Mytilus edulis: one gene and its partner. The protein of the gene in region 2 binds, or shares a complex with, the protein of the main gene of each other region. Links are inferred from orthologs where the notes say so. Each region holds a gene or a part of one and is shown on either strand. Other genes may lie near its edges.

Region 1 (12,313 bases), on a different chromosome or scaffold from region 2:
TGTCCTAATAAAATGAAGCAAATGCATTGGTATGCAACACAAGTACCATAAGTACAGAATAAAATGAAAACTCAAACAGTGTTTAAATAATAGGATTGGTCCTTAATATGCAAGATGCAAATATAATTACAATGTAGAAAATAAAGTTGTTTAATGACTCTATCGTGGGTATTGGGACAGAGGATGTTTTCTCTATTTCTGCAAAAAAACGAAACTAAGGCTAAATCTAAATCTAAGAGCTTGCTATCAATTAATAAATTAAAAATGCATATGTTTGTCGATTTGTTTAACTCAATGTACGGTCACCAATCTAAAAGGTTCATGCTTGTGCTAATTTCTTTATTCCAGTCAAATGTGTTCAACGATTCTAACGTTTTTGTGTTTTATTCACAGTCCAAATTTCTTCACACAAAGTCATTTAATAAAATAAATCCAAGTTGTTTTACTCACAAACATGTGTGACATACGGCGATTTGCGTTCTTGGGCACAGCGTATTACTTGTAACCCGAATATTTCAAGCCCTTCTCGTAATCAATCTCTATTCTCGGTAAATGATGTTGTCATCAAAGATCAGCAGAATATATCGACTGAATCATTCAGTAAGAATACGCTAAGAAATACGAAAACCGAAATCTGAAACAGGAAGTTTTAGATGAAACGAAATTATCGACGGTTTATACTGGTATCGGAAATGAACAAAATCCGGAAATCGTATTTTTTTCAAAAATAAAAAAAATCGGGGCGGGAAGATTTCAAAGGGGCGGGCGGGGATGAAAATCTACCATTTAATTTTAATTGGCCCTATGTACAAGTACAAAGGGGCATAATAATGAAGAAATCAAAAGCACAAGTTTTCAACTTTTTCAAACTGAGCTTTTAATTTTCGCATTTATATACTCTATACACAACCAATGATTACAAAGAAAACTTACACTTTCTTTCCATTCAACAACATGCCGTTTACTTTTTCAATAGCATTTCTGGCGGCTTCCTCAGTCTCAAAATGTACAAATCCGTATCCACGTGATCCATGCTCGTCACAGACAATCTAAAAATAAATGTTCCAAAACTTACATATAGTAACAGAATAACGCATGTATAACGAAAGTTATTCAATTATTGACCTTTTTCGAGAAAATTGAATTTGTAACTCCAAAACTTCTGGTCAACTTAGGAAGTTAATATGATTGTGCAATCTGATTAGTCAAATTAATCTGGTTACCTGTTTAATTATACTAGTTACCAGTAACTAGAAAATGTGACCAATGGGGTTGCAAGGTGATATTATAAACTTCTGAAGTTAACCAGAAGTTTTGGAATTAAAAATTCAATGGTCTGGAAAAGGTCAATAATTTTCGACATAAGTGTGTTACTCTGTTTGAGGGGTTTTCTCAAGGGACATGAACCATGTTTTGTTGCAGAGATAAATCAATTACCCACAAACTGGTGTATGTTTAACTATGCATGAAAAATGCAAGGGAAAGTTAATAAATATCGGTTGAAGCAAACACATTGAAAATTTTTGACAGAAACAAATGCCTGTGATAAATTCCTGTGATAAATTCCTTTATTTTACAAAGATCTTTATATTTAGACGGCCTTATTTTTTCATTTTAATTTTTTTTGTGTTCATGTAACATGGTTCTTAGTCATTTTTATCTGTGGAGATACCCACCTATTGAAATGGTGGATCAAGAGGGGGGCATAGAGGGCACCCCCCCCCCCTTCCTTTGCTTTTTTTTTTTGTAAAATGATTAATTAGACTAGACTTCGTGAACTTTGCCATTTCCCGTGTATTTGATTTTCAAGCGACAATTCTTTACTTATAAAGATATTTGTCTCGGATAATTACTAATCATGTCAAAGTCATGTTATTTGCTATGATCATGATGGTGGAGTTCACTGCTGTGTCAAAAATAAAAAATAAAACGTCACTCGGTCATTTTGAAATTCAAATTACAGTTACACATTGCTTTAAAAGCTAAGAATGACAACCATGATACCTTCAAAGCGGCGCAGGATTGAGCAAGAACGTTGTGACTTCTGTTTCACAATTCAACCAAACAGAAAGTAATACTCTAACACACACTCAAAAAAAAATCCACAGCAATATTATTTACCTACGAAAACATGCTTAATCCCAAATGCCCAAGCCTATTTTAAAATGACATGATAGCTAAATTATGTTCCCCAGTCAATATAAGCTCTATATATAGATTTAAAGTCGAAGGTACAAACCATCAGATATGAGGAGGCAGTCCAAGGTATTTGAGAGAAAAAAAATTGACTCTGATTTGTGAATTAAATAAGAATTCTGGTCGTATCTGAACTGAAAACAATAATCTTGTCAACTTTTGTGAGATATTAGAAATGGAAATTTCCAACAGAATTATTTAGCATTAAATGAACATAATGAATAAAAATGTATTTTTTTTAGGTCAGGGTTTGCATGTCTGACCTGAACGTCTGTTTAGCCGAGCTGATATATTGAATACTTTCAAGACCAGACTGCAATCTGCTTGCTGAGTGAGGCCTTTATGTCTAAATTTGTCGACCGTCATTCATAAATTAGTTATCATTTCAGACTCATTTGTAACCTTTGGTTTATTTTGGAACCCCTCACTTCCCTTAATTTTGTTGGGTGAAATATATCAACCAAACATTTGGATAAAGATTGCTTGTTTGACTATTTTAACTTGTGTCGGTAGAATTGTTAATTTCATCAAATAGCCCGGAGTGTTTCATGTTTATTTTTTACTGACAAGTCCCACATCAAATATATAAGTACGTAGCTTTGAATCCATATACTATCATTATCTTTATGATAGACAATTAACAGGGAGAAAACAGTGTAAAATGCACTTTTTAAACGGTTCCTGACGTGGGGCATGTACATGTATATTCTATAGTAGCGGTAAAGTGTAAGGGTTGGACAATTTTTTATACTCCTTATTTCATGTTTTTTAACGGAAAAAAAGATCCCAAAATTTTTTCGACTCGCTCCGCTTGGCAATCTTTAACAACTTCGCATCCCCCTTTCCAAATTCCTGAATCCGCCCCTGCCTTCAATTTTCACAACATAATTTTTTTACTCTCACCTGTCAACAAAAATAAAATCCATTACTTAACAGTTTTCTTACCTTACAGGATAAAATATTTCCAAAGGCAGAGAATGTATCGTATAATGCCTTATTGTCAATGCTTTTGTCAAGATTCTTGATGAATACGTTGCCAACACCAGATTTTCTCAGAGATGGATCTCTTTGTGACCACATGATTCTTATTGGTCGACCTTTGATGGTGTCAAAGTTCATTGTGTCAAGAGCTCTCTCAGCTGCAAAAGATACACGAGTATGTTCAGCCTGCATATTTTGTGTCAAGATTCAATTTCAGAAAAGACATTCACAATCAAACCTGATAACATGTACATTTGTATTAGTTTTTACAAGTTTATAAAAACCTTGAATTTTACATTTTGTACGTACACATGACATATAAATTTATTCTTGTTAGTGAAAACAGTTTGTCAATGAAATATTTTTTTAAGGTACATGTACTTCCAACTTTAAAATTCCAAATTAGAACAACGAAAATAGAAGTCCGCTTTCCAACGGTCAGTTGGAAAAATATGTTGGTCGGAAAGGCCTAAGTGGTGTCTTGAATGAAAACAATAATGACAAAGCAACGCCACAGCAGCTGATTGGCCAGTGTTTTTAAACATAATTTATTTTTGGAAAAATGGAAGATTCAGTGCGAACAAAAAACGAAAAATATGCATTCGTGATTTGAAGGGGTTAAGACCGTGCAGTGTCATCACCTAGTTATCTATGTACTAAACAGCAGACACTATTGATTTTGTGAAATTTTAATCATGTAACACTTCTAGCTTGATCTGACAACCAAGATGATGTTTTTACTTGTCTGAATACGGCATTAACTCATCAGGGCAATTGGACCACCTTAACTTGAGACTTATGTTTGTGATAATGGTATTGTTTAAGTGGGTTTGAATTTTAATTCTACTTTTTTTTTTAAACATGTGAGAGTACAAAAAATGTAGGTCGGAGGTACATTGACTTAATTGCCACTGACAATCTGTCATGTGTCTGGTCTAAGGACTGTGAAATTGAAATGTATGAATGATCACAATTTGAATACATGGAAATGTAAATGTGTTATCAGATATACAACTTTGGATATCTTACCATCTGCTGGCTGCTGAAAGTTGACATAAGCATAACCAAGTGAACGTCTTGTGATCATATCTCTACAGACACGGATACTGAGGACTGGACCTGCTGTTGAAAATTTCTCAAACAACATAGCTTCGGTGACATCTGGGTGAAGATCTCCTACGTACAATGAAGCCATTGGGTAACTTGCTCCAGCCGGATTGATATTAGTCGTCATTTTCAGAGGTTAAAATATGGCGCTGTTGATTGCTAGAAGAAATAAGTTGTTTTCGCTTCTGTTCTATCACAAACCTACCGTTTCAGTAGTTTTTTTAATAGTTTTGTTACTTTTTCAATTTTTTTGTATTTTTTAAAAGTTTTTTAGCTTAATTTCTTCCAGTTTAAGTGTTGTGTGAGACAACTTTTCGCACACAACACACGGCAACCTCACGATTTGAGAAGAGGGATAGGAGAGGTAAATTGCCGCGATCTATATATCATTTGAAACCGGATAATCCTACACTCAAATAATCCAAGAATATCGAAACGAAATCGATATCATTAAACCACTGGCAAGTTATCATTTTCTACTCTTTCAATAATTTTCGAAACGTAAACTTTTATTTTTGTACTCAGTATGAAGAATTATTCTTTATTGAAGGAAAATTTCCAAAGAATTTCCACCAATTTTTTTTTCAAATTGTGACGTGTAATATTACTACGCCGATTCATTAGAGTTATCTCCCTTTTAATCCACGTGTTTTACGGTCATGTATATGACGCAATTTTATTTAACATTTTTAATAGCATGTCAATCTTTTCATCCTGGTCCCTATTGTTTGTGGTCAATGAGTTAATCGACCACCAACATTTACCGTGGGGAGTTGTTAGATGTTGACATACATTATGTAATAAGTGGAACATGAATCAATGCAAAATTGCAAAATTAGAAGTAAAAAAAAAGTTTTTTTTAAAGATCTTTAAACTTGGTTTTAACTGGTTTTTTTTTTTAATCTGCAAGAACTGGAATAAAAAAAATCACAAAAATGCTAAACTCCATGGAAAATTAAAAACGGAAAGTCTACAGCCAGGAATTTCCAAAGGGGGATTATTTGGACTCGCGAACTCAACTTTAACAGTCACAATTCGAACAGAACGTTGACTTTAACAGTGCTTAACACATGACATGGGCAAAATCTCTTTGTTCTTACTGTACTATAATCTGGATAATGCACAGCAAAGGTGTGCATTAACTACCTCAGATATACTGCACAGTTCAAATATATTTTTACCTTTAGGGGCGGTTCCTAGATGTTGACAGGGGCGTTATTCTATCAAATTAAAAAAATATATCACCGAGTGTAGCGAGACTAAAACAATATTGACGATTTTAAGGCAAAACACGATACTTTGTCCCGTGAATCCTAGGGTGAACGACATGTTCGTCCCCACCCCCGAATCCGACTTCTGCCTTGAAATTGCGACAAAATTTAACTTTGTACAAACATCGTAGTTTCAAAATAGGAAAAAAGAAAGGTTTCTCATTCCTTTTTTTTTTCATCTTAGCTTGAACATAAAATTTTTATTATATTTTGCGTAAAACATAAATCTTAAATCAGTGTTTTAAAGTCAGAAAGAGAGTTAAAACAATGTTTGGTCATTTCCGCCAAAAAAGAATTCGAAATGAATCTAAGAATATCCGAATAAAAGAAATCTGATTTGGATTAGTTTTAGACTCAATGGAATTTAATATAACGACTTTTTCAATATCTATTCCTAGCTGGAGATCAATCAGACTTCATTTAGATGGACGTGTCTTAAAAATTAATACAGTAGATACAAAGAAATTTGGGGGAGGGGGAGGAAAAGATTGGAAAGAAAAACGTATTTTCTGTTTATTCAACATTTAAAATTTAGGTAATATAACATCTTCCTCGGTTTATCTTTCTCTATTATTTAAAGCACATCATTGATGGAAAGATATTCAAAAGCAATTAACCTAAACTCAATAACCCTTTCAGTTATGATTTTTTTTCTTCATACAACGATTTGAAGGTACTCAAATTGTCAAAGTCTTAATCGTCACTTATTAAATAAAAAAAAATCGTCCACATCTAAAACGTCGTTCGGGATAAGGGTCACCTGAGCTGTGCAGATTAAATTCTATATACCGACTTGCTTGGTCAATAACTATAACTTATTTGTTTTCAAGGGTGAGGGTCGTCCGAATCCCCCTCCCCTGGCTACGTGTATGGGCTAATCAAAAAGGAGGGTAATACCTTTTTATGTTAACCTGTTTTGACCTTTTTTAAGGTGTTGTTAACTGCGGTTATTTGAGATAAAATTGAATAGTTAACTGTTTCTAACCCACTGTCTGTTATCTGTTCTGCTTTTTTTATTGAAAATGGGACTCCTGTTATAAATATGTTACTTGACACTTAAACTGTTAAAGTGTTCACTGTTTTTGACATAATTTGTCTCTGTGAACTGATCTTCACTGTTATTTACAAGAATGTCAAAGTTAAGATTCAAACTAATCACATTAAATATAATTTTTATCCTTTCAAGAAGTCATAATTATTTGGACTAATATAGGGGGGATAGGACCTTTATCGGGACTCCGGGATCGGGTGTTTTTAAGCTGGGGATTTCGGGATTGACCCTTTCGGGATCCGGGAATTCTTTTTTTCGAATTTCGGGACCTCGGGATTTCATGTTTTTAAGCCCGGGATTTCGGGATTTCGCGGTGTTTTTAACTCCGGGATTTCGGGATCAGGACCCCTCCTATCCCCCCTCTAATATGTTAAGTACTGTCTTAATTTGGAGATCTTTGAGATTTATAGTAATCCTTGATAAAATTGAGAATGGAAATCGGGGGAATGTCTCAGAAGCAACAACCCGCCAAAAGAGTCAGAAAACAGCCCATGGCAAAACTAAAACGAGTCTTCAACACAACGAGAGAATCCTACGCCAGAAGCTGATTTTAAGAGAGCAATCATTTTAAATTCAAGCAAGAAGGGAATACCCGGGTAACTAGTTCATATAAAATGGACTTCACTACAATAAAGTCCGAAACGAATCAAAATTGACAAAAAAATCAAGAGGTATATATGGCTGAGGTTCCACAAAATTGTTAACATATCAACGCTCCCCCTATACTTCTAACCGGGTCCCATGTAGTTCATTTCTGTCTCCTATTAATAATTGATCCAAAGTTAACAGCAGGGGCCACTTCACACCCAGCTAAAACCCTGGTCAGTCCCAAGATAAAATCATTCAAGATGATACAGAAAGTGTGATAAGTTACATTGACCCAGAGCACCGTAATGGAGTTGTGTCGGAAAAATAAACTGTACTGTTTGAATTTGCAATTCGAAAAATAATTGAACAGTGAGACCTGTTAGAAGAGGCAGACACATCAGGACTTGGTTCTCAAATTGATGCCAAACTTGCTACCTTCAGAAATGTGAAGATGGACAAAAGTCTTTTTCTATATAAGCTATAAGTTCTTGGGACGTTTAGATGGAAGAATCTTGTGACACCTTACAGGGTACTTGGTGATTTATACATTGATTTTAATTATTTGCAATAAAAATCAGTAATCTTTTCAATTCATTTTTATAAAAGCTTATAAGCTACGAGTCGTATGAATACACCGATATGTACCCATAATTTATTAGGGTCCCAACCATAATGGTTAGACCTTATTGTAATAACTCTGTCTGTCTGTCACACTTTCATACGTTGCACGATTACCAAGGTTTGCTTCAACTGATTGAAATAAAACGTAAACACAAAAATACACATAACCAGAGAATCGATAATTCATGTCTGAAAAATTGGAATATGCATGGCTGGTGAGGCCTTTCATGACTGCGTATAGTCATTTTTCTAGCACTCCGTCTGCCTTTCGATCCGTTCAATTGTCTGTTCATGTGTCCAGCATAAAAGAAATGGTAGTTGTGTGCAACCTGAAACTTTATCATCTTTATTAAAGATTCATTAGGTCTTTGCATTTCTGCCACTTTGTACAGTGGTTCTGAACTCATTGAAGGTGTGCATTTCCCCTTTTCATTGCTTTTGTGTTTATTTGGGAAAAAAGTGTAGATTAAAGCTGGTGTTAACTGTACTCAGCATTTTAAATTTTTTGTTAATTATTTTTGTCAAAATTGAGGTGTTGTTAACCCTATTGCCCCCTCATCAAACGGCAAAATCAAAAGCTGAAACACACCAAAGGAATGGATATCACAACAACCAGGCGAATCCGGAACTTTTTATAAGGGGTACCCACTGACTTTCCTAAGGGTGGGCTGCTCCAGCCATGCCTCTGTGATTCCCTATGTAATCAAACAAATGTTTCCAACATAATGGACCCGGCACCTCCACCCTCCTTTTGGGCCAACCTTTCATGACAACTGTCATATTCCTGACTTGGTACCGGCATTTTTTTATGTGGATTAAACCTGGCCTTGTATGACTTATAGCTTGCTTAACCTCTCACTTGAAAATGTAAAGAAGGCTTGGAACTGGCATTTGTTTACATCGGTTTGGAAGGGTAGCATTTCATTACTCAATAAAAGGCTTAGACTATTTTTGTGGTTCCTTTAAGAATTTATGGATATATTTTTTAATTTTAATGAAAATTATGAAAGGTTGCAAGATGGCTTACTGTGTAGTGTTAATTTCCAAAAAATCTTATAATTTTCAATGGTTTTCATTCCGGTTTTATTGTTGTGCGTTTGTTTTTCTACATTGGCTAGAGGTATATAGACGATAGATGAGATCTCCAAAAAAAAACATGTTTAACCCCGCCGCAATTTTGCGCCTGTCCCAAGTCAGTAACCTCTGGCCTTTGTTAGTCTAGTATCATTTTTAATTTTAGTTTCTTTTGTATAATTCGGAGTTTAGTATGACGTCCATTATCACTGAAATAGTATGCATAGTTGTATAGGGGCCAGCTACATTGAAGACCCATTAGTTACCTTCGGCTGTTGTCTGCTCTATGGTCGGGTTGTTGCCCATTTCCATTCTCAATTTTATTGAGTGGTGTCTGTGTTGCCCAGACTAAAATTTTATGACTATGATGTGTTATTTGTACTTTTCTTCTGATCGTAAGACAGATTGAAAGAATTGGTTCAACTTGATACAAATATCAATTCGCAACTAACAAAAATATATATACCTAATAAATACAAGGGGTGAGGTATTTCAACTGACATCTTAACGGCGCTTCACCAGCTTTCACAACTCGTTTGGTATTTAAGAGCTTGCAGCTGCTACTTAGACTTTATAAAACGTCACAAGTGCATGAGCACAAAGCTGACAAACCAGGATTATGTCAAAGAATGTATCGTGCTTTATCGAAAAAAGTTCATTGGACGAAACCAAAGCCTTCAACTTGTTGATAGATATTCCGTATCAACTTCATAAACAATACATGATGGTCTAGATCTTGAAGTCAGTATTCTAGGCTGATTTATCATCTTAAATACCTGCTATGATGTTCCTTTTATTTGTCTTTGTATATACATTTTTAACCTTTACAGTTGATATAAAAAGAAGATGTGACATGATTTCCAATGAGACAAATCACTACAATAGACCAAATGATGCATAATTTAATAACTGTAAGACATTCAACAATGAGCAAAGCCCATACCACATAGTCAGCTATAAAAGGCCCCGAAATGTCATGTTAAAAGAAATTCAAACCAGAAAACTAAAGGTCATTTACAGGTTCCTGACTTAGGACAGGCGCATGATACAGAATGTGGCGGAGCTAAACTAGTTTGTTGGCGTCAACCCCACCCTAACCTGGAACTTTTTATCAATCCGTTCACATATCTTATATCCAACGGGTTTCATTAATATAGTGTTAAGTACAGCTCTTTATAAGAACCAGGCAGTGTGCCATATACATGTGATACATGGGGGGTTTCAGATTTTATCTATATTTGGCCTAGTAGAAGCAATACGTGAAAAACGCTTAAAAAATAATTTTGAGTGGGAAAATATGAGTGGTTGCCATGGTAACAGACACACAATTTTTTGGTTGTTAAGCGTTGTAAAATCTTTCAAAAATCAGCGAAATCACCACATTTCAGAGCCTGAATATGAATACAATCATGCATTTTTCATTAATTTTCATATATAACATTGATAGAACTTGGTTTAAGCTTCATTTTAGTGAAGATTGCATGTCAGCCAAATTTGTAATTTTTTGGTAAAATTTTGTGAAAAAATGCATATTTTCAACTTTTCTGAAATTGGGATTTTTGCTGAATTACCACATTTTCTCTGGTGTTTTTCAGAAAAGTGCAAATGTGTACAGAATAGTTAGCACTGTAGTTATGAAGTTTGGATACTACTTTACCAAATTTAATAGAAAAATGTGTGGGATTTTTTTTAGTTTTATCACCATAGCAACCGATTTTTTCCTTGGAAACGGAGTTTTCATTTGCAGAATATTGCAGTTTAAGAGCTTAAATGTCCTGAATTTTTCATAACCGATAAGAAAAATACATAAAAGCTAACGAAAACTTTAAATAGCAATCGTTAAGTGTTGTTGACTTCAATTGTTACCACGGAAAGACATATTATCCATAGCATCATCCACCAAAAACCTGCATAAATAGAAATTTATGTACAAAAAACATATAAATAAAGCGTTCAAAAAAGTCTTTGCTTCACTCACAGTCTTGTCTGGAATTTTTTCTTCAGATTGTTCAATAAATGTAATATGTCATGAAACATTAGGGTTGGGGGGGGGGGGGGGGGGGCTTTGGAGAATGGGGGGGAGGGTATAAGTTGATTTGTTTAAATGTTGCATACATTAGTAGATACTTAAAAGATAATTGCGTTTCGTCGTCCGAAGAATCATTGGTTTTCGCACTTTAACTTTAGTTAAAGTTAATAGAAATCTATGAAATTTATACACACGGTTATTTACCACAAAAAGAAGGTTGGGATTGATTTTAAGAGTTTTGGTCCCAATAGTTTAGGAATTAGGGGCCAAAAAAGGGCCCATTTAGACATTTTTCTTGATTTTCACACAATAACTTCAGTATAAGTAAATAGAAATATATGAAATTCAAACACAATGTTTAAGAACACAAACGAAAGGTTGGGATGGATTTTGGGAGTTTTTGGTCCCAAAAGTTTAGGAATTAGGGGCCAAAAGGGGCCCAATTAAGCATTTTCTTGGTTTTCGCACCATAACTTTAGTATATGTAAATAGAAATCTATGAAATTTTAACACAAGGTTTATGACCATAAAGGAAGGTTAGGATTGATTTTGGGAGTTTTGGTCCCAACAGTTTAGTAATTAGGGACCAAAAGGGTCAAAATTAAACTTGAATAATTGGGGTTCTTAAATACTAGTATGCCGAATCTGAACTGTGAATGCATATTCTTAATTTTTGGTCCCGTTTTCAAATTGGTCTACATTAAGGTCTAAAGGGTCCAAAATTAAATTTACTTTGATTTTAACAAAAAATGAATTCTTGTGGTTCTTTGATATGATGAATCTAACCATGTATTTAGAATTGGGATATTGGACCATAATAGGTAAGTTTAAGTTCTTAGACCACATTCATTCTGTGTCAGAAAACTATGTTGTGTCAACTATTCGCAATCCAAATTCAGAGTTGTATCAAGGTTTAATGTTGTGTCCATACTGTTCAGGATTCGGACTCTGCGGTCGTATAAAGGTGTGCTCTGTGGAGCAACTGGTTTAAGGTTGACAGGTGATGAACTTCATGGGATTGCAAAAGCCGGGCCAACCTGGCTTATGGAAAGGCAAGATATATATGGCCCTAACAAACGTAAGACAATTCGTAATTTCTTATGGCACACATCCGTCTGAGATGTTATTCCACCAGCTTGAATCACAAAATTGACCCGTAACATAATATTAACAAACCAATAATAGAATTATTTGGTCAATGCATTTCTAAACTGAAACTGAAGTGTGATGGACGGGTGGATAAAGAGGGAAAGGCAAATTGAACACATTTTAAGTTGGTGGTGATTTAAACAAAAAATAATAGGCAATGGGTGATAGCTAATATCGGTAGTCCAGTATAATGGAAATTCTCTTAATATATACATGTAGCTATTAACATATCATTAATAACTGCTT
Region 2 (12,548 bases):
ATTTGAGTAGGCAGCTTTTTTCTGGGTAGGTAGGGTTTGGGCAAACAAATCTATTCTTTTTTATGGCCCCATGAAGTATATATGTAACCTATGCAAAACATTCAAAGTCGATCCATGACTGATGGGGTGGGCCAAATAGTCTTCATGGAAATCAGATGAGCCAATGCTAATACAACAGAATACCAAATACAAGAATCATTGACATACCACAAGTGGTACTGATAATCTGACCTAATCACAAATTAATACATGTAAACTAAGCATAAGTTGCAAAGTCAATATATAGACCATGACTTAAAGAATGGACCAAATAGTCTCCATGGAATTGAGATGCTAAGAAAACTGCATATCAAGTATAGTGGTCCTACCACTAGCAGTTCCCCACAAACTGAACTTATCACTAACTAATACATGGGGTGGTACTTCTCTACTTGTGGCTGAAAATACAAGTCTTACATTTTTGTTCTTTGTTGGCTTGGCTTCTTGTGCAATAGATCCTGTAAACTTCTCCTCACTCAAAACTTCATAAGATTGACTTCCAGAATTTAACAATACAATATGGCTTGCTACCGGTTTACCAGTCCTACGGTCATAGGTCATCTGGAACTCTACCGGGTCTGTTATATAGGAAAGTTATTATATCATTATATATATATATATATATATAATTTAAAAGTAAAAAACACAAAAAATCACATCATAAATCGAACATTGTTTCTGTTAGCGCTTTCACCGCATCTCCAGCGGTTCATCAGACAGAATTGTTATCGTTAATAGTAACGATTTTATTTATCAAAATATATATATATATATGTTTGTCCTATCAAATAATAGCTATGGTGACCATGTGATTTCAAAGACATTTTAGAATTAATGTTTCAATAGGAAAACAATTAAATATTCTGTACATGCCTGTTCAAATTCATTCAGAGGTTGTCATTGGATACTGTTAACTATTCTTGTTTTTTGTGTATTGCTAATCATAAATCAAGTCGTCGTGAATATGGGCTAAGGCAGGTCTTATGTGTTCACATTTGAATTGTTTCATATTTTGTTCATGTCATGTGGTTTGTAATAAAAGGTTGTCTCATTGGCAATCATACAGCATCGACTTAGGCTTTTAAATATTTTATTTACAGTAAATGTCTAGCATAAACTTCACAGAAGGAACACAGTACACTGTGTCTTTTTTTAAATCCGAAGTCAGATCAAGTTCTGTGCATTCAAAAAAACATTAGTAAGTGCTTTATTGTGATTTTTAAAGAATGGAAAAAACATTAAAATATAGGAAAATCTGCTTTAAGATAGATATGTGTATCAGATATCAGAATGCAAGTCCATATCATTGCCATACTAACTAATTTGCATTAATAAAAACCTCACAGTATTTTCTAAGAAAAACAGAACTTAATAAAGCTGCATAATTACTGAAAGCGAGCAGTGTGATGAATTATAATAAAGTTTAAAACAAGTGCTAACCTCCAATTTTAACCAAGTTAATATCATCTCCATATTCACTAAAATGAAAGAAGAGTCGTGAATCCCTTTCACAACACTGAATAAATCCATAGGAATGCTGAAAGTAAAACAGAACATGTTAGCGCTATAAAACCAGGTTCAATCCACCATTTTCTACATTTGAGAATGCCTGGACCAAGTAAGGAATATGACAGTTGTTGTCCATTCGTTTGATATGTTTTAACATTTGATTTTGCCATTTGATTAGGGACTTTCCGTTTTGAATTTTCCCCAGACATTTGTCAGAGTTCAGTATTTTTGTTATTTTACTTTTTACAAGCTGTTTATAAAACCTCATCTGAAAATTTCTTCCAAAATTAATAGATATAGGAAGATGTGGTGTGAGTGCCAATGAGACAACTCTCCATTCAAATAACAATTAAGCAAAGATTTAAACATGTGAAAGCTCTCTCACGGGCAAAACAACCAATAACTGAAAAATATAAGGGCATACACTAAACATTTTTTTTTATTATATTATGAATAAAAGCCTTTAAAGTTTTATTTAATTCACAATTATGATTTAAATATTGATTGTTGGTTGCTTAACATCCACCTGTAAATATTTAATGCATGTTCAGGACAGCACAATTATGAAACTATATATACTGACAAATTGCTTGATCTCAAAGATTTTTTTTCTATTTCCATGCGAAACCATTTCACCATAAATGTATCAATCAATTATTGTTAAGGTGGTACCCAACACTTGCACTAAAATTAATTTGGGTCGTTTAATTTTCTTAAAATTTTGACAAAGTATTTACTTTGACCCTTTTACAAAAATATAAAAATTTCAAAAAATTTGAACCAACCGTTTTATCAGAAAAATTACACTGGTTATATAGCAGTTTGACAAACACTTATTTTGATCATTGAGAAGCTTAATATTCTCTTAACAACACAACGTAATTAAAACGTTTAGCTGATTTTACAGAGTTATCTTCCTGTAGTGTTAGGTACCACCTTAAATGAATTCAAATATTTACCAAAAGCTTCTCAATAAATCCTGTTTCTCTCCCTACTCCATTGCTGTTGATGTGTGAATTGATCACTGGTGCTGTGGCTCTTTGAAATGACACGATTGCAGGATCTTGTGTGGACGGCTGGAAATTCTGATATAACAAAAACATATTTTATCAAATTTCTTGTACAGGTTATAGATCATGTAGATTTGACATGTTTTAAAAATGTTGTGGGTTTTTTTTGTGTTTATTTTAAAGTGAAATTCTTTTAACAGTGTAGTGTACTACTTTTAAGACAATTTTTTCAAAACTATAAAATTTATATTTTCTACCACTCAGACTCAAAATATGGACAATAATATGAATTAAAATTCAGTTTGATAGTTTCAGACATAATTTTTTTATCTTCTTCAACTCCACCAAATAATCACTTTAATTTACTTTAAAACTCCAAACCAAAATTTAAATGTAATTTCACCCAACCCTCTGCTATTCTACTTATTATTTTATATAAATGCATTATACATTTGGAATTTGTATGTAAAAAATGTACAAGTAACACATTTTCAATAATAGGAACTATATTTGTTTTCATCCAAAAAATCAAAAACTCTTCATAGATACCAGGATTGAAAGTTTTGCCAACTACTGCTAATCTATTCCCGAGGTTGAAAGTCCTATGTATTTGAAAAAATCAAAGTTTTGTAAGCAGTTAATTTATAATTATGACCACCAATGATATCAACAATAATTCATGTGAACACAGAAGTGCTGACTACTGGGCTTGTGATACCATCGGGAATAAAAACTCTACCTGCAGGCCAGTGACATTGACACAGTGGATGATAAATGTTTTCTTGGACCAAAATGAATCACTAATTTAAAATATACATGCCTTCCACTGAGGACTGTTCAACTTCTTTACAGCTGACATAGTTGTTTTGTTTCCTTGGGAGTTTCCTAGTCCTCAGAAGTGCAGTCTGTGCAGTTAAGTTCTTTTATGGGCTTTTGTTGTTTATTTCTTCCTTTGTTTGTTTTGGTTTTTTTCTCAGTTTCTGATGCTGGGTGGTACTACATCTATGGGCTAAAATATGAAAAAAAAGAATGTGATTTTTTTTGGGTTGGTTATTTGATTAAGTTTTATTTGTTTGGTAATAAAAAAGTATAACCTAATTATTTTCAAGCTGAACTCACCAATTTACTAAAGAAGATTTACATGTTAAACAGCCGAGATTGATGTTTTGTGCAAAACATGGTACAGTGTACATGTATATTAACCAAAATACATAAAAACTTGATTCCTGCCTCCTAACAGAAAAAATTGGGTACCAAGAAGGTAGGTGATTTTTTTTCTTTTATTATATTACTTTGGAAATGCACTTGTCATCTTGTATAATATTAATATTTGTGTGTTGATTTTGACAGATCTGAACTTCCAGAAAATATACAAAACGTTCTGGAAATTCAAGTCTGTAAAATTTTAATGAGTTCTGAGTAAACAATTATTCTAAACTATTCTAAAGTGAAGGAATGTCAGAAATCCAGGAAACCATTCATTGATATTCAATTCGCAACAGAAAAAACAAGTGTAACTGTGAGCAACTGCTCACTGATGATACCCCCGCCGCAAGTGGATAATGTTAAGTGTTCGGTAAACAGGAAGTTGCCGAGTGATGAATCTGAAAACGCATCACACAGTATAGCTGACTTATATAAACCCTGAAACCAAATTTCAGAAATCCTGGCATTGTAGTTCCTGAGAAAAATGCGACGAAAATTTTCAACTTGGCCATCATGTGTAAAATGATAGTAGTGTTCGGTAAACAGGAAGTTGTTGAGTGATGAATCTAAAAACGCATCACACGGTATAGCTGACTTATATAAATCCTGAAACCAAATTTCAGAAATCCTAGAATTACAGTTCCTGAGAAAAATGCGACGAAATAAAATGGTAAGTGTTCGGTAAACAGGAAGTTGTCGAGTGATGAATCTGAAAACGCATCACACGGTATAGCTGACTTATATCAAGTCTGAAACCAAATATCAGAAATCCTGGTAGTGCAGTTCCTGAGAAAAATGTGACGAAAAATTTTCAACTTGGCTATCAGGTGTAAAACTGATACAAGTGTTCGGTAAACAGGAAGTTGTCGAGTGATGAATCTGAAAACGCATCACACAGTATAGCTGTCTTATATCAAGCCTGAAACCAAATTTCAGAAATCCTGGTAGTGTAGTTCCTGAGAAAAATGTGACAAAAAATATTCATGGGACGGACGGACTGACTGACAGACTGATGGAAGGACAGACAGAGGTAAAACAGTATACCCCCCTTTTTTTCAAAGCGGGGGTATAATAACGACACCAAAGAAAGACATCACAGCAAATATTAAAATTGCCTTTTCACGTCAAAATTTTTAGGAACAAGTGTCTTCATGAAAGATGATGAGAATACACCTTACAGCTATTTCTCCGCCATTCCTGGACATCTCAAAGGTTACTGTAAAATGTTGAACTCATAATAGAATATATATCTGAAGCCACAATGGAAAAGCAATTGGTGTATGATTCTCAGGTCTATAGGCAGATATTTCTAAATAGCGATAAGGTGTATGATCCATGCCATGGGAAGTAGCCTGAAGGAGAACCTGTCCCTTGTATTAACTAAACTGGATGTAAATTATACTTTAATTAAATCGTAAAACACAGTTTATCAAACAAAACAATGTAAAGTCAGTCTATATATCATTGTAGAATGTTTTAAGTTCACAGTCTATTGATTTATTTAATTTGAAAAGAAGCCAAATAAAAGACCAATCCCCATTCCATGAGGATTTGGTTCTATAAAACACTGTTTAATAAATTTTTCAAATAAAGTGAGATATATATACAATTTTCGCCTAATAATAAAAATATATTGCGTAATTTTAAGGTTATGAATTTGTTAAAACCAGGTGCATGAATTTATTGCACTAAGTACGTATTGCGCAAATCCATCAGCTGACGTTGACGGTTTGAAAATACGGGTTTATGCACTACAAAGGACAACTAAAATACTAAAAATATAAACGTTGAATGTTTTTCTATTATTTCGTTTATGTTATTAATGAAACTTCCATCATAATTCACCATAATAAGTGAAATTTTACCCCAAATTTTGCACAGCACTGCAGCATAGCCGCCATCAAACTCTCGAACTCATTAATTTATTGAAATTTTAGAACTGAAAGATTATTTGTTCAGTTTTACAGAATTATTTACAGAATATTTTTAATGACAGATTTTGCATTAAAGAGAAATAAATAAACAAAAATGCAAAACATAAACATAACTTTTATTTTGTTTTAGAGACTAACCACATTCTCCGTGACGTCATTGTCAAAATACACATTGAAGCAATTTCCTGACTCAGAGTCACTCATTCCTTACAACTCACATTTAGAAGGTAAAATTAATGTTGAACAAATGGTTAAGAAGTAAAAGATAAACACACAAAATTTTGACTGCAAAATTGAGGTGTCATTCTGATTCCCATAGAAGTCAAACAAATTATAACTGAACTGTCAAATTCTTGAGTTGTTACAGGCATTTTTCTGAAGATATATTTATGGGGGATTAAACTTATAACAGCCTTTTTTATTTCACCAAACTGATGAATAATAATTTGAGGATAGGGTCAGAAACATAGAAACGACAAGAGTGACAATAATGTCAATAAACTTCATATTTATGGTCAGCAATGGACAGTTTGCGTACCTCATATGATTTCGTAATTTTCGTACTATATATTTTTCAATGGAAATTGTGACATCACAATCATTCTTAATAGCACAAACAAACAAAAAAACATGTGTCGACATGGATGAGGATAAGAGACCAAGATCAAAATCAAAATAATATTGCAGCATTTTAATTTAAGCTTTCAAGACGTGACCGCCATATTTCCATGGCATCCATAGATTGTATTGTCAATGAAACATATCGTTCATACCCTGTAAAGACTCATTGTCCACACTAAGTTTTAATTCCAGTGAGCATGTTATAACATAAAATATAATAAAACAACACTACCAATGACAATGTATCCGCTTGAACTCAGCTATGGTGCTGTGTTTTTATAGTGATCATGGTTCATATTTCCTTTACAATTTCTTGACAAAAGCCTAATTAATACTTTTTTGCATTTACTCTCATTTTGTAGCGTTTAATCTACAAGGCATAACTTTCACTTGTTTTCCAGTGTCAACATGCCTTTAGAATGGCTCTTTGGAAAGAAAAAGACTCCGGAGGAAATGTTACGACAGAATCAAAGGGCATTAACCAAAGCAATGAGAGATCTGGATAGAGAAAAAGCCAAAATGGAACAACAAGAGAAGAAAGTTATTGCTGATATTAAGAAAATGGCAAAGCAAGGACAGATGGTTTGTTCATCTTAATTTTACTTCCTGCTTTAATGTTGATGTGCACATTCTCCAATGGTTTAACTGTTTTTCAAGCATAATTGTGAAATAATTGTAGGAAGAGAATTTTCAGACATTTTACATATGATCAAAATAGTGCTTGCTCAGGTGTAGGAGATGATGTTCCTTTACCATTGTTTACCTATAATTTAATTTATCATTGTATTTTTCTGCTTAGCATGCATTTGTGTCATCACAATTTATAAATTTCCAATTCTGTGTGACAAGAATTCAATTGTTTATACTCATGAAAAAATAAATGCAAGAATAAATGGTAGAATTACCCAAAAGATTTGACTGAACATGAAAACCGACATTGTTAGTACATGTATAAAACAAGTGAATCCTGTGGTTCAATTTAATCACTAATCAAAAACACTTTTACAAAACTAAGTCATATATTTCTGGTTCAACAAGGCGAAGCAAAAATATCTTTATGGTAGTCCAATTCAGAAAGAATATTTGTAAGGTATTTTTGTTACTCATACATGTATGCCATGTTTTGGGTTTTTTTTAGAAAAAAGAATAACCATTTGTATTTTCATGGAATAAATGTTTATATGTTTCTTTATTTTAGGATGCTGTAAAGATTATGGCCAAAGATTTAGTTCGAACAAGACGTTATGTGAAGAAGTTTATTTTGATGAGAGCAAACATACAGGCTGTGTCACTAAAAATACAGACATTAAAATCAAATAATGCTATGGCCAATGCAATGAAAGGGGTTACAAGAGCCATGCAAACAATGAACAAACAGGTAAACCAGGGACCATGTTGGTGGTTGTCTCATGTCATATATCTCAATAGTTTTTTGTGAAATGTAATTAAAGCCGATTGCATTGAGTGTGTAGGTAAAGGTAATATCTTTGGTTAGCTTGCTTGCTAGCTGAACCGTAAGTTAATATTAGGTAAGGTATACTACCCTCCTTTCGAAGTAGTCTAGTCCTACATACAGATAGATAGGTCCATGGTTATCTGTCGGACTAGTCTACTCTAAAAGGAGGGTTGTTTACCATACCTAATAATGACTTCACTCAATGCAATCGGCTGTAAATGTTGTCAGCATATCTTTGATTGTTGTTTTATATTTATTACAACTTTAATAGACTTTGTAAGTTTGGTGCTTAACATACTTTTTAGACAGACAGCTATTGCTGAAGACTCTTGTCCTCTAGATCATGAAGTCTTTTGGTTGTTTTATGATTGGGTTGCTGTCTCATTGACAAATAACCACCGATCTCCTTAATTTTGTTCAAAATGTTTATTATATAAATACTGCTGGCCTACATTGAGTGAAATAGCAAAGTTTAAGAAAAACTTCCATTTAGGAATATATTCAAAAGTTTTTAGGTATTACAAACTACCTTAATTACAAGAGGAATTTCTTGTATCCTCACGCTTTCTGTTAATTTTCCACGTTCATGTATTTGTATTATTCTGCTTTTAAATAGTATTAAGAAAGGAAATATGTAAACTTACTTATTTTCTAAAAAATGTAAATTAATGAGATACAAAGTCAAAATGAAAGTCGAAGGGTTTTACATGTATAACATATCCTTATTATTGCAAATAAATTATGAAATCATGGATGAACATAGGTGTTAGTGAGTTCAATTGCATCCAAAGTAATTAAGACGTTGTATTAATTCTGCAGTTGAAGCTTCCACAAATTCAGAAGATAATGATGGAGTTTGAAAAACAATCAGAAATAATGGAAATGAAAGAAGAAATGATGAATGATGCTATAGACGATGCTATGGGTGATGAAGACGATGAAGATGAAAGGTATGGTGACATTAAAAAGATATAGGAAGATGTGGTATGAGTGCCAATGAGACAACTCTCCATACAAGTCACAATTTATAAAAGTAAACCATTATAGGTCAAGGTAAGGTCTTCAACATGGAGCCTAGGCTCACACTGAACAGCAAGCTATAAAGGGCCCCAAAAATTACTAGTGTTAAACCATTCAAATGGGAATTAAAAGTTAAAAGTACATTATTCATTGATGGCACATATTGATGAAAAAGCTGTTTATTTTTAAGTAATAAAAAAATTTAAACATTGATTTTATTGCCTGAAGCTATTTGAAATTTTCAGGCTTTTAATCTAAAAAATTATATTACACCAATGTTAGCCTTACCAATAATGAAAGGCAAGGTACAGCAGAATTATGTAAAAGCCTTTCTAGTTTATGCATAAACATGTGAAGAAATGAAATGTAACCATGTTTGTTATGCTTTTCTTTCACGTCTTACAAGTTTTATGAAGTGTTGACATTTACACCCAAAACAGGAAAAAAAAGCTACTATTTTATGGGGCTGACTGTTTATTATTTTTCAACCCTTGATGAAATCATCTGAATTCCAACACCTTTGGTCAAATAAAACATGGAGCACAGGATTGAACAAACAAAATATTCAAGTTAGATTTTGGCCTGCTTGTAAAATAAAGTTATTTCCATTTTTTTCTCTTTTTATAAGACCGCAAAAATTGTAAATATATGTCGTATATTGGTATGACGTTGTCTGCGTCGTCGTCGTCCGAATACTTTTAGTTTTCGCTCTCTAACTTTATGAAATTTAAACACAAGGTTTATGACCATAAAAGGAAGGTTTGGATTGATTTTGGGAGTTTTGGTCCCAACATTTTAGGAATAAGGGGCCAAAAAGGGCCCAAATAAGCATTTTCTTGGTTTTCGCACTATAACTTTAGTTTAAGTTAATAGAAATCTATGAAATTTTGACACAAGGTTTATGACCACAAAAGGAAGGTTGGGATTGATTTTGGGAGTTGAGGTCCCAACAGTGTAGGAATTAGGGGCCAAAAAGGGGCCCAAATAAGCATTCTTGGTTTTTCGCACTATAACTTTAGTATAAGTAAATAGAAATCTATGAAATTTAAACACAAGGTTTATGACCATAAAAGGAAGGTTGGGTTTGATTTTGGGAGTTTTGGTCCCAACAGTTTAGGAATAAGGGGCCCAAAGGGTCCAAAATTGAACTTTGTTTGATTTCATCAAAAATTGAATAATAGGGGTTCTTTGATATGCCGAATCTAACTGTGTATGTAGATTCTTAATTTTTGGTCCTGTTTTCAAATTGGTCTACATTAAGGTCCAAAGGGTCCAAAATTAAACTTAGTTTGATTTTAACAAAAAAATGAATCCTTGGGGTTCTTTGATATGCTGAATCTAAAAATGTACGTAGATTTTTGATTATTGGCCCAGTTTTTAAGTTGGTCCAAAATTAAACTTTGTTTGATTTCATCAAAAATTGAATAATTGGGGTTTTTTGGTATGCCAAATCTAACTGTGTATGTAGATTCTTAATTTTTGTTCCTGTTTTCAAATTGGTCTACATTAAAGTCCAAAGGGTCCAAAATTAAACTAAGTTTGATTTTAACAAAAATTGAATTCTTGGGCTTTTTTGATATGCTGAATCTAAACATGTACTTTTTGATTATGGGCCCAGTTTTCAAGTTGGTTCAAATCAGGATCCAAAATTATTATATTAAGTATTGTGCAATAGCAAGAAATTTTCAATTGTACAGTATTGTGCAATAGCAAGAAATTTTCAATTGCACAGTATTGCGCAATAGCAAGAAATCTTCAATTGCACAGTATTGTGCAATAGCAAATATTTTCAATTGCACAGTATTGCGCAATACCAAGAAATATCTAATTGCACAATATTGTGCAATAGCAAGAAATTTTCTATTGGAGTTATCTTTCTTTGTCCAGAATAGTAGTTGAATCAACTTAAATCATTGTTTTATACAATATACAATGTATATTCACTTTTACTACCAACTGATAAATTAAAACAATCTTTACCATTCAGTGATAACAAGCACTTTATTTTACATTTTAATATTTTATGATGTATTTAAATGAGTAGTTATTGTTGTAAACTTCATTAGAAATTTGAATTGAGATCAGTTTTGGAAAAAAGGGAAAGGGGGATTTGAAAAAAAATGGGGGGGGGGGGTTCAATTTTTCTCATTTCAGATTTCATAAATAAAAAGAAAATTTCTTCAAGCATTTTTTTGAGAGTGTTAATATTCAACAGCATAGTGAATTACTCAAAGGCAAAAAAAATATTTTAAGTTCATTAGACCACATTCATTCTGTGTCAGAAACCTATGCTGTGTCAACTATTTAATCACAATCCAAATTTAGAGCTGAATCCAGCTTGAATGTTGTGTCCATACTTGGCCCAATGGTTCAGGGTTCAACCTCTGCAGTCGTATAAAGCTGCGCCCTGGGGAGCATCTGGTTTAATTTATATATACATGCCTCATACATTCTTTTGGTATTTTGTTCACCAAAAAATTATGCTGATCCTATTTGGACACACTACTTAAAATTGTTGTTCTAAACTATCAATTTCTTAATGTTTTCTCTTTCAGTGATGCTATAGTTTCTCAAGTTTTAGATGAATTAGGTTTACAACTGACAGATGAATTATCAGGTATGTCCTATTATTTGAAATTAGGTTTACAACTGATATATCAATTGTCTACTGTTGATTCAAATTTTTCATTGGATACTGAGGGGGTCTCATTGGGGGGTTCCGATCCCGGATCCCGCTTACTGTTTTGTCAGATTCCCTTATCCCGCTTACACTATGTACATAAGCAATTCTCATTTTTAGCTCACCTGACCTGAAAGGTCAAGTGAGCTTTTCTCATCACTTGGCGTCCGTCGTCCTGCGTCCGTCGTCCGTCGTCTGTCGTCCGTCGTCCGTAAACTTTTACAAAAATCTTCTCCTCTGAAACTACTGGGCCAAATTCTACCAAACTTGGCCACAATCATCCTTGGGGTATCTAGTTTAAAAAATGTGTGGCTTGACCCGTCAAACCAACCAAGATGGCCGCCATGGCTAAAAATAGAACATAGGGGTAAATTGCAGTTTTTGGCTTATAACTCAAAAACCAAAGCATTTAGAGCAAATCTGACAGGGGTAAAATGGTTGATCAGGTCAAGATCTATCTGCTTAGAAATTTTCAGACGAATAGGACAACCTGTTGTTGGGTTGCTGCCTGTGAAATGGTTATTTTAAGGAAATTTTGCAGTTTTTGGTTATTATCTGGAATACTATTATAGATAGAGATAAACTGTAAACAGCAATAATGTTCAGCAAAGTAAGACCTACAAATAAATAAACATGACCAAAATTGTCAGTTGACCCCTTAAGGAGTTATTGCCCTTTATAGTCAATTTTTAACAATTTTTCGTCATTTTTTGTAACTTTTCTAAAAATCTTCTTCTCCAAAACTACTTTGCCAAATTTAACCAAACTTAGCCACAATTATCATTGTGGTTTATAGTTTAGAAAATGTGTCCGATGACCCAGCCTACCAAACAAAATGGCCGACATGGCTAAAATTAGAACATAGTGGTAAAATGCAGTTTTTGCTTTATATCTTTGAAACTAAGACATTTAGGGCAAATCTTTCAAGATTTAAATGTCCATCAGAATAAGATATATCCCCTCACAAATTTTGAGTTGAATCGGACAACCTGTTGTTGGGTTGCTGCCCTAAAATTGGTGATTTTAAGGAAATTTTGCAGTTTTTGGTTATTATCTTGAATACTATTATAGAT

Evidence for each region.
Region 1: the proteins of cold shock domain-containing protein E1-like (region 2) and polyadenylate-binding protein 1-like are in contact, whole or in part, in a crystal structure (PDB 7ZHR), measured with the Drosophila melanogaster proteins. The link is inferred for Mytilus edulis from reciprocal best matches to the Drosophila melanogaster genes Unr and pAbp. Residues at the interface, in NP_648226.2 of Drosophila melanogaster: Leu843, Glu844, Thr845, Thr846, His847, Asn848, Gly849, Val850, Glu870, Ile871, Leu872, Asp873, Glu874, Thr878, Val879, Ile880, Ser881, His883, Leu902, Ile907, Asp908; in NP_476667.1 of Drosophila melanogaster: Asn184, Tyr186, Lys188, Ser211, Lys213, Met215, Phe225, Phe227, Ala229, Tyr255, Ala257, Arg258, Ala259, Gln260, Lys261.

The regions. Positions count from the first base shown.
Region 1 is NC_092355.1:9,891,054-9,903,366, forward strand, and holds the start of polyadenylate-binding protein 1-like, read right to left. Parts: upstream 4,668-12,313; 5' UTR 4,412-4,667; coding exon 4,207-4,411; intron 3,336-4,206; coding exon 3,142-3,335; intron 1,050-3,141; coding exon 934-1,049; intron 1-933.
Region 2 is NC_092353.1:68,475,661-68,488,208, forward strand, and holds the start of cold shock domain-containing protein E1-like, read right to left. Parts: upstream 5,706-12,548; 5' UTR 5,630-5,705; intron 3,568-5,629; 5' UTR 3,418-3,567; coding exon 3,379-3,417; intron 2,634-3,378; coding exon 2,508-2,633; intron 1,577-2,507; coding exon 1,480-1,576; intron 618-1,479; coding exon 457-617; intron 1-456. Other genes in the region: charged multivesicular body protein 2a-like, read left to right, coding at 5,935-5,948, 6,721-6,901, 7,518-7,697, 8,595-8,725, 11,351-11,412. UniProt on the Drosophila melanogaster protein: RNA-binding protein that acts as a regulator of dosage compensation in both males and females.